Canis lupus familiaris: one gene and its partners. The protein of the gene in region 3 binds, or shares a complex with, the protein of the main gene of each other region. Links are inferred from orthologs where the notes say so. Each region holds a gene or a part of one and is shown on either strand. Other genes may lie near its edges. The genes, in order: CRIPT, SNRPD2 and SNRNP40.

The links.
Region 1: SNRNP40 (region 3) and CRIPT share a complex: the UniProt entries of both Homo sapiens proteins name them as parts of the minor spliceosome. The link is inferred for Canis lupus familiaris from reciprocal best matches to the Homo sapiens genes SNRNP40 and CRIPT.
Region 2: SNRNP40 (region 3) and SNRPD2 share a complex: the UniProt entries of both Homo sapiens proteins name them as parts of the U4/U6-U5 tri-snRNP complex. The link is inferred for Canis lupus familiaris from reciprocal best matches to the Homo sapiens genes SNRNP40 and SNRPD2.

The regions. Positions count from the first base shown.
Region 1 is NC_049231.1:49,895,404-49,899,056, reverse strand, and holds part of CRIPT (cysteine-rich PDZ-binding protein), read right to left. Parts: intron 1,882-3,653; coding exon 1,816-1,881; intron 915-1,815; coding exon 860-914; intron 1-859. UniProt on the Homo sapiens protein: As a component of the minor spliceosome, involved in the splicing of U12-type introns in pre-mRNAs. Involved in the cytoskeletal anchoring of DLG4 in excitatory synapses.
Region 2 is NC_049222.1:110,606,483-110,609,594, forward strand, and holds the end of SNRPD2 (small nuclear ribonucleoprotein Sm D2), read left to right. Parts: intron 1-2,286; coding exon 2,287-2,461; 3' UTR 2,462-2,552; downstream 2,553-3,112. UniProt on the Homo sapiens protein: Plays a role in pre-mRNA splicing as a core component of the spliceosomal U1, U2, U4 and U5 small nuclear ribonucleoproteins (snRNPs), the building blocks of the spliceosome.
Region 3 is NC_049223.1:69,116,291-69,120,043, reverse strand, and holds the start of SNRNP40 (U5 small nuclear ribonucleoprotein 40 kDa protein), read right to left. Parts: upstream 2,464-3,753; 5' UTR 2,409-2,463; coding exon 2,265-2,408; intron 2,089-2,264; exon of another isoform or gene 1,950-2,088; intron 46-1,949; coding exon 1-45. UniProt on the Homo sapiens protein: Required for pre-mRNA splicing as component of the activated spliceosome. Component of the U5 small nuclear ribonucleoprotein (snRNP) complex and the U4/U6-U5 tri-snRNP complex, building blocks of the spliceosome.

The DNA of each region.
Region 1 (3,653 bases), on a different chromosome or scaffold from region 3:
GGTTAAATAAAATGAGAATAGAGAAGTCCATTAGGTGTGATCCTGCCAAGCACAGCGGCATGGGTTGGTGGGGCTGAAGCCCTGACTGGAGTGGCTGAAGTCAAGAATAGAACTTTACAGTCACTGAGAAAGCATCTGGATAAGGCTTCTGAAAACTTCTGCTGTGAAGGGAAGCAAGGAAATGGGGTGGCACTGGAAGGGTTCATGGATTTTTTTAAGACTGGAAATAATAAAGCATAGAGTTCAAAAGTGGTTTTTAGGGTGGGAGACACTTTTATCTCCATTCTTAGATGAAAAAGTAAAGTTCAAAAAAGTCAAGAAACTGGCTTCACTTCCTTCCTTAAGGTCCCAGAGCTAGACAGGGACGGTCTAAACTCAAATTTAAGGCTGACTTCAGAGCTTCTGATCTGACCACATCTATTGCCTCCGATTTGTATGTTATTTAAGAACTAGATAAAATAACCTAAAATAAAACCAAACCAAGCAATATTATTCTAAAATTAGTCCTATAAAACATACCACACTGAAGCACCTGAATGAAACTACAAAGTGATTTTAGGGATAAGGCAAGAAACCAGTTTGCAAAAGAAAAAAAAAGGAACAAGATAAAAGTCATGTTTTCTGCTGAAATTATATATATGAAAAAATATAGCTCTAATATCTTCATATGTTGATATACTGAGGAGAAGCAGGGTGAAGCCAGCAGGTTATAACAGATAGCTTGGCTTTGCATGCTAGGAACTATTGACCAGTTTTATCACAACAAAATGATGCATACCCAATTCATTCTGGTATGCTTAAGACCAAAAAGAGTGGAAAGTCAGATGCCTGTGGGTAGAGTGGCTGCTTCTATACTTACCTTGCTTTTTTTGAAGTCAAAGCTTTATTTTCATTCAACTTTCTTCCACCACTTTCTAAATCAAGGTATACATGTATTTTAGTAGGTTATTTCTGCACATTTCACTATAACATATACATTTAACATTTAACAATTAGTTAAAGAGTTCATTCTTTGACCTCCTACCACTTGAATAGCCTATATAAAAATTTTCAAAAATCCTTAGTTAATAGCCAGGTTTTTAAGACATTACTTCAAAAGGAAACATTTATTATGAAACAGTAAAACTGTGGATAATCATTTTATTTTTCAGACTCAAGAGGACTTTAGGGATGGGTCTACATTTAATTTATCTAGTGTAAAATCTTGAAGTCACTACTGTGGTGCCAAGACCCTGAATACAGTACAAGCGTTTCTTTTTCTTCCCTTTAGAAATATCTCAACTATGTATAATGATATGATGGTGAAAATGTAAATGTGTGAATGATTTGTTCATGAATTTTTATAAAAGTCAGGTGAAGAGGGAGGAATACACACTTTAATAAAGTGGAATCAAATCAGTTACTATGATCTACTCATTGGTTGAAAATCATTTCATGATTTTGCTATCTCTTGCCTAACAAATAAAAAAAGATTAAATTGTTAGGGGATCTGGAATTCTTTAATATTTAGGAGATGAGGGGCACCTGGATGGCTCAGTTGGTTAAGCAGCTGCCTTTAGCTCAGGTCATGATATCAAGGGTCTGGGATTGAGCTCCCTGCTCAGTGGAGAGTCTGCTTCTTCCTCTCCCTCTGCCCCTCCCCCCATATCTTGCTTGCATACACATTCTCTCTAATAAATAAAATCTTAAAAAAAAAAAAAGAGAGATGGAATACTTTGCACATAAAAGAGTTCTTTTTACAAATAATGTAAAAGCTAAAACATTAGTCACAGGAAGTACCGGATTCAACTTCCTCTTTCCCAAATGGAAAAATACCTGTGGTATTCCTTGCACCGTCTTTCCATGTGTCTGGAGTGATAACAGTACCAAGTTTCTTTTCACCTGTTATAACAAGATAGTAAAAGTAAGGGGAATTTGGATTTACTATTTAATAAATACACTACATTGTGCCTAAAGTTCAGTGTATCAACCACCGTCTTGCAGTAGGAGCCTTTTCATGCTGGGGTACGGGCTGTGAACTGAGACTGAAGATACTAACTGTGGGCAATGGGTACCTGACCCAGTAAAATCTGTACAGTACGGTGGCTAATGGCAGGCTTTCCTTGTATATGTATGCTTTAAATAAATCTGAAAAATCTAAACAAATCTGGTACACATATTTATTCCATAAATATTTACTACGCACTTATGATATATAAACCACTATAGAGAGTTCAGAGAAAAATAAAATGATAAATAAGATAAAGCTCTAGGTTTCAAGGAATATACAACATACTATTTTCTCTAATAGAAGTCCTTAGTCTGGGTTCCATGGCTAGACCTCAGAAGACAAGTGGACAGGATGAAGCTGTATACCAAACTACTGTATATTCATTTTTCTTCTTGTAAGAGTCCATAGCTTTCAGGGCACCTGGGTAGCTCAGTCAGTTAAGTGTCTAAGTGTCTGCCTTCAGTTCTGGTCATGATCTCAGGGTCCTAGGATCGAACCCCACATGGGGCTCCCTGCTCAGCGTGGAGTCTGCTCCTCCCTCTCCCTCTGCCCCTCCCCCTGCTTGTGCTCCCTCAAGTGCACAAATAAATTAAAAAAAAAAAAAAAGAGTCCATAGCTTTCATCAGATTTTTAGAGAGGTCAGAGACCTCTGAAAAAGAACCATTCAAACCAAAATATAACCTAGAAAATAAAAAGCATAGTAATGGATGGCTAAAGTACTAGGAGAAATACCATAGGGGAAGAAATAACCTGAGCTAGGGAAATCCAGGAAAGCCTTTGGAGGAGACAGGAAGAGGGTCTGGATGTGGCAATGGGATTGTGAAGACAGAGGAGAGAGGATAAAGGCAAACTAGAGAAAGGCTGTATCTTGAATGAAGGCACAGAAAGCTAAGGGTACATGTGGTCTTGCAAAGTAGCTTGGTTTGGCCAGAGTGAAGGTAAGAGTACATGAAAACAAAGTTGGAAAGATAAGCTGAGCCTTCATTGTGGAGGGTCATCCTGAATCCGGGCTCCAAATATAAAACCCCAAATTATTCTCTGCACATTGAGTATTTATTAAAGGCTTTAAATTCAGGAAATGATAGAGTGCACTTATATTTAGGTTCAATTCAAATGTCTGTTGTGATTACTCTAAACCATGCCCTGGCATAATGATGAAGGGATGGTAAGACACAGTCTCTACCCTTTGGTCCTACTGTTTAGCATTTGGTCAGAATGTAATACTTGTTGCATGAATGAAAAGAAAAGGTGACAAAAATGCAAGAATGAAAGATGGAGTCAAGGTTTAATTGAGCATTTTTATATGGAAGGGGAGCTGATTAAAGATTCCAAAGGATATAGTGACAAATAAAGAGGTACGGAAGGATGGCAACAAGGACACGAGTAGAATTTTTCTTGGAAAAAGGGAAAGAGGTAAATGAGTATGGATGTGGATCTGTTTACAGGTATCGTAAAAGAAGTTGATAATGTTCCCATTTAATTACCTTGCTTGTCTTATACCTATAAGGAGGTATTTGTCAACAGAGGATGAGGTAGATGAAGGTGGGGGAAATTTAAGGGATTAGAGAGTTTGGAATAGTCACTAGTGACAAAGGGCAAGAGGGCTGACTAAAGAGAAGTAAAAAAGACCAATGAATAGTATTAAAGATCTTGGAGAATAGGA
Region 2 (3,112 bases), on a different chromosome or scaffold from region 3:
GAGCTGTTACATGACCATGAATAAGTCTTTTCACTTGGAGCCTCGGTTTCTTCTCAAGGAGAATAAGAGTGAGAACAGGAAGTATTGGGCCCAAAAAGGCAGATAGACCTAGATTTGAACAGGGCTGTGCCACTTCTAAAACATCATCCCACTGCGCCAGTGTCCTGCTCTGCAAGCTGGGGGTGATACTAGTGTTTACCTTCTGGGGGTGAGATGTAGTGAGAATTACTGGCTTACTGCTTCGAAGAGGGCACCTGGGTGCTTAGTAAGAGCACAATCGGTGGTGGTTTATTCATATACATTTGTGTGTCCACATCTTTTTAAAGATTTACTTCATTTATTTTGGGGGGAAGGGGCAGAGAGGAAGAGTTCCAAGCAGACTATGCTGAACAAGGAGCCTGATGTGGGGCTCACTCTCATGACCTGAGATCATGACCCAAGCCAAAACCAAGAGTCAGACATTCAACCAACTGTACCACCCAGGTGCCCCCCCCCCCATTTTTTTAAGAGGACTTTCCCCCAGTTCTTCCTCATATCCCCACATCAGCTTCCCACCCTAGTGTGTATCCTGCCACAGTTCACTCACTCACGCTCAGCACACACACACACACACACACACACGGGCTTCTTTGTGGTGTTAAATAACAGCTTTATTTTTTATTTTTTTAAAGATTTTGTTTATTCATGAGAGACAGAGAAATAGAGACATAGGTAGAAGGAGAACCACACTCCTCATGGGGAGCCCCATGCAGGACTTGATCCCAGCACCCCAGGATAACGACCCAAGCCAAAGGCAGATGCTCAACTACTGAGCCACCCGGGTCCCCAGCTAACAGCTTTATGGAGGTGGAATTGACATGTTGTCATATCATAAATGTAATTGTTTTTAAGATAGAATCTTCCATGTGCTACTCTGCATCTTGTTTTTCGTACTTTTCAGTGATCTGTGAACATCCCTGCAGGTCAGCTAAGGCATTCTTAACCCTGTTACTTATTGTATTAATTATGTTCCTTTCTTGAGTGAGCAGTGCATGCAGTTGAGGCAAAATTCAAAAGAAACGAACGTGCTCAATGAGGAACAAGTCTTTTTTCTCCCTGTCAGTCAGTTGCCCTCCCCAGGAATCCTTCCACGGTAAATTCCTCAGGTCCCCTCACATGACATCAGACCAACAGACACAAGAGTGTGCTTTACTTTATTTTAAATCACTGCTAATAGCAAACCACACAGTTTTAGACCTCAGCTTTTTCACTTGACAACATGCCTTGAAATGTTTCCATGTGGGTATGCTACTTCATTTTTTTTTTAAGCTTATTTTTCTCTGAATTGCTAATGTATTCACAGGATTCCAAAAACAGTAATAGCAGTCCAATGATAACATTCCATGCAGCTTGTCCCCGGCCTCCAAGTGTCTTCCAGGATTCTGTACTGTACAAAGCAAAAGGAGGCAGGCAGTATAGATGCTTCTCCTACCCCCTTTCTTCCCTTCAAAAGATCACTTGCATACTTGGTTTTGTCACTCAACAGTCTCTCGTGGATATTACTCCACAGCAAGGCACAGAGCTTCCCCACTCTTAAATACTTTATTTTTCTTGCCACTCAGTAACATTTCCTTCTATCTTTCTATCCCTTCACCTGGCTTTAATTTTTCTTCATAGCAGGGGTTGTAACCTGACAGTGTATCAGATCCATCTGTTTACTTGCTTAGCATTCTTCTCTCCTCACATCCCATCAGGGCAGGGGTTGCATCTGTCAGCTTCACTGCTGTATTCATTGCAGGTGCTTGCTGAGTGGGCTAATCTGTACTGTCCTCAAACGTGTCCACCTGGCACCCTGAGGAGATAGGGACCAAGCACAACTGCGGCGGAGGCATCACATTCCTCCATAGGCCCCAGGGACCTCTGGCTCCACAAATAGCAGCAGTTCCTTTGCTGATGCTTTCAGAAGTACTTAGAGTTGAGAAACACAAGCAGACCCATTTTGCTTACCTTTCCCCTGGGTCAGGCCCCCTTCTAAGTCTTTGCAAGAATGCTGTATTGGTTAATTTATCTTCACAGCAGCCCTATGAGGGAGGCACTGTGAATGACTCCATGTCAGAAAGCAGGACATTGAGGCACAGAGGAGTGAAGTCCTTTGGCCAAGCCTCAACCTGAAGACTGGCAGAGGTGGTGTGGGGGGTCCCTGGCTGTCCTTGTCCCAGGCCCTCACCTTCATCCCATGTGAGCTGCTGGAAGAGGGGTGGGCAGAAGGCTTCTCCCTCACTCCTGGTGCCTGCCCTCTACCCCCAGGCACTGCAACATGGTGCTGGAGAATGTGAAGGAGATGTGGACCGAGGTCCCCAAGAGCGGCAAGGGCAAGAAGAAGTCCAAGCCAGTCAACAAGGACCGCTACATCTCCAAGATGTTCCTGCGTGGGGACTCCGTCATCGTGGTCCTGCGGAACCCACTCATCGCTGGCAAGTAGCGGCCTCCTCCCCGCCGTCAGAATTTGCTCCCTCCTGCGAAGACCTGCCCTTTGTAATGGGAATAATAAAGTCCTGGGTTTTGTCTAGTGGCATCTGTCTGTTCCCAGAGCCTTGTGACAGGGACAGGCTTGGGGAAGGGAGGCAGCTGGGTGTGGCGCCAGGTGCTAGGGTGCAGACTTCTCTGATCCCGTGAAGAGGCCCTGTCTCTGCCCCTCCTCAGGCCTCTTTTTCCCCATCTGTGAAGTGAATGGGTTGGATACAGAGGGCTCTCTTTCCCTTCTTAATCTTTTCTAGCTTCTCATCGCTGCGTCTCTCTTCCCTTCCTCTGCCTCTCTCTCAATAAGTTGAGGTCTGGCTGCAGTGCTGGGGACACAGCAGTACCCAGGAGAGCCCTGACCAGCCCTCACTGAGAGGAGAAGGAGGATATAGTTAGAGTAGTCAGTACCCAAACAGTGGTAGTGATTGCCACTAACACCTGCCAGCTGTTAGGGTGCCAGGCCCTTTCCTCTGTGCTGAGCAGACACTGTTCATTATGACCTCCATTGCCAGAGGAGGGAACTGAGGTACAGAAAGGAGAGAGCATTCCCCCGAGGGGATCCAGCCAGGAAGTGGTGATGGTATAATTCAAACCTCCCCTGTGCCAGAGCCTG
Region 3 (3,753 bases):
GAGAAGCATGATTGGCGCTTGAAGGGAGGAACACCTTGGAGGTCCCTAAACAAAAGACAGAAGTACAGGGTAGTTACTACATACAGGCAAAGGAGACTACAAAAGACACGGTAAACAATCATTGAGTAGATTTCTCCTGATTTAGAGAATGGTAACTCTTCTCACATTAACTTAGGCCTCCAATTTGATACCCTCCTACTCAAGTGTCCAGTGTCTACCAGTTATACTGACTACTCCCTCAGGCTCCTTCTGTCCCATAGCCAACTTTAAATTGCTCAAATATGCTAAGCTCATTTCTGTCTCAGGATCTTTACACTTCTTGCTCCTGATCGGAATCCTCTTCCCTTGATCGTCCTGTGTTTAGCTCTTTCCAAATGTTTCCTCTTCAGAAAGTCTTTCATTGATCACTCAAACTCAAAGCAGCATCACACCTCCCCTCTGTATTCCATTAATCCTACTGTATTTCCTCACAGCACTTAAGACTACCTGAAATCACCTTCCTTTGTATTGGTTTACACATTTTGTCCTCTTCCCCGGTAGAAAAGCAGCTTTGTGACTGCAGGGACCCTGCATTCAACACTTTTCCCAGTCTCTAGCACATTTAATTAATGCCTGAACTGAGCTTCCCAACAACCCTGCAAGGTACATATTACCCAGGAAAGTAGTTTTGACTATGGTCTTGACACTAAACCTAGGCTTGGACAATTCACTGGAACCTGGGCTGACATTCCGGTCAGAGAGAAGACCTGGTACACTATTGATAATCCCCAAACATCCTTAATAGCTTTCAGTTTACTCATTTATTTAAAAAAAAAAAAAAATTAACGTGCCAGGCACTGTTTTAGGCGTTGGGAAAACAGTACTGAACAAAATAAACAATGGAGTTTGTGTTCCCGTGGAAAGGAGGAAGAGAAGAGACGAAGAGAGAAAACAAAACATATAGCAGGTTGGTATGTGCTACGGAAGAAAAAAAGCGATGTGGATTAATACATATGGGGTATTGCAATTTAAAACAGGGTAGTCAGGAAGGCCCTTACTGAAAAAGTGATATCTGAACAAAGATTTGGAGGATCTGAGTGTGTAAACCACGTGGATATTTTGAAGAGCATTCCAGTTGAGTGCAGCAAATGCAAAGGCTTTGAGGCAAGAGCATGGAAGCCAGTGTGACTGGAGCAGGGGGAGTAATGGAAAATTGGTAGATCTGAGAGGTAAAGGGAAAATGGGCAAAAGATTTTAAGGATTGTAAGGATTTAACCCTGGGTGAAATGGAAAGCCATCAAAAGTTTTCAGCAGAGGGTAACACGAGCTGACCTTTAGCAGGATTCTCTAGCCACTGGACTGAGAATAGATGGACCATAAAAGAATAGAAACAGGAAATACCAGTTAGGACCTCACTACAATAATGCCAGATGAGAAAAATAACGGCTTAGACCAGGGGCGAGTGATGGAGGTGGCACAAGGATTAGCAATTTGGCATCTATTTTGAGGACGGTGTGCCAGCAGGATTTGCTCACCGGCTGGTGGAGAGGTTGAGAGTGGAGACGTTTACTTCTTGATCGGAGCCTACCAGCCCAGCAGAGGGGTGATCGTTATTACCTCCATCTTACAAGAAATGCAGTTAAGAGCATGGATTCGGCTTTAAAACCGTTTCCTATCACTTACCGGGTTAAGAGCTTACAAAACAGGGCACTGAGAGTTCCTAACTCTTAAGCTGTTACCAAGATTAATGGGGTTTTCATACACAAAGCCCTTAGGACAGGTATTAAATGAAGGTCAGCTCTCGTTCCGTTGTTGTTAGTAACAGTACTAGTGCTGAGACATGGGGGGGGGGGGGGGGGGGGCGGGCATCTTGACCAAAGCAAGCCGGGCTCATTCGTTTCCTTTCTCTCCTCATTCATTCATTCATTCATTCATTCATTTTTTTCAGCCGTTCTACAAAGTTTTCTGAATGTTTACTCCACGCTGGGTCCCTGTGGAAGATTTAATACGAAAAAGCCCCGGTGCGGGTTTTGACTTCAAGGTCCTTAACGCTAAATGTAACGCCACCTCCCAGGGTGGTCGAGACGCTGAAAGCGGGCGTCCAACCAGGTAACGAGCGGAGCGTCCCGGGGGGGCAGGGGGGGTGTCGACCGCTTTTACAGTGTTTCCTGTGTGAACTGCAGGCAGCTATTCCCGTTCCTACCCCGCACTGCGGGATCACCGGGGGCGGGCTCCCTGAGGGGAAGATGAGCTGAGGCCCGAGGGCCGCCCGCGACTCCACTTACCGCTTGTAGCAAAGCTCCCGGCGCCGTCTGCTGCTGCCCAGCTCCGGGGCCCGACCCCGCCGCTCCCAACAGCAGCTCATGCCGCTGCCGCTTGACTGGGACCAGTGGCAACTCCGGGCCTTTGCGCTTTTGCTGTTCTATCATGGCGGCAACCGCTCTCCTCAGCGCCGCCACTGACCGCGCCGACACCCTCAGGCAGCGCGCGATTGGTTCCGACTTAGTTCTTCCCCCAGAACTTCCGGCTTGGAGTAACCAATCGGTCTGCAGCAATCCCCTCTGCACCGCCTCCCTGAATACTCTTCTTTTATTGGTCAGTTCTTTCTGGCGTCACGGGAGTGCGGTGCTGGGATTGGTGGGTGGAGCTGGAGTCCCACCTAGGCGCGCTGGGTCTTGTGGGTGGAAGCGTTGTCTGGTTTTGGCGTTTCGCGCAATGCTGCGGCCGGGAGACCGGGAGCTGACCCAGAGTAAGTGGAAGGAAGGTCGAGGGTGGGTGGCTGCGGCATCTAGAGACGGCGCCTCGGTTGTGTGACGTGAGCCTGGCTCTTCTCAGCTGAAGGTTTGCAGGGGCCTGAGGCGGGCCCCGGGGTCCCAGCGTCGGCGCGTAGCAGCCTGGGTTCCCCTTCTAGGCTGGAGCAGGGCTTTGGGGTCTCTGCGGCCGCCCGGGGCCCTCGTCCGCCGACTCGTTCGTCCAGCGCCTGCCGTGTCCAGCCCTGTGCCTGTGCCGAACGCCCCCAGGGAGGAAGGGCCTGTCTCCCAGCTCCACCAGGCTCCTCTCTCTGACTGAGGAGGCCGGCTTGTTTCTGCCACTGGTCATGCAGCCTTTTACGAGGGCCTGCTCAGTGCCTCTGGGAGAGACAGGGATGAGAGGAGTATCCGACTGCTGCTTCTCCAGAGCACAGTCCTGTGGAGAAATTCGGAATCATATCTGGGAACTAGGTCTCCTTAATTGTCCAACTGGTGTTTATTGGAAAGAGCCCTGAGAGGATACATTGTGAACCAAAGATGGTCCCACGTCGGGCCCCCTCCATGGAGCCTGCTTCTTCCTCTGCTTGTGTCTCTGCACCCCCCCCCCCGTCTCTCATGAATAAATAAATTAAAAACAAACAAACAATTCAAATATTTGAATATTGAGGGCAAGCATGTTAAACAGTGATCTCACTAAGAGCTTTAAAATACGTGCTGCCTAGGAGAGGTGCCTGATGTTATGAGTGTCTGCAATAAGCAGAAAAGCCTCTGTGAGGAAAAGATGCCCGAACTGATACCTGAAGGAAGAATTGTAATTATTTGGGTCAAGGGAGAAAGGCAGAGCGTTCCATATAGAACAACATGTGCAGGGGCCCTGCGGCAAATGGGAGGAAAATGACTGAACGGCAGAAAGAGGCCACTATGGCTACTTCAGAGGGAATGAAGGAGGGTCTGGTACAGGATGCAGCTGGAGGTGGGTAGAGGTGCAGGATTTTTACTTCAGGACTGATGGGAAACGACCGAG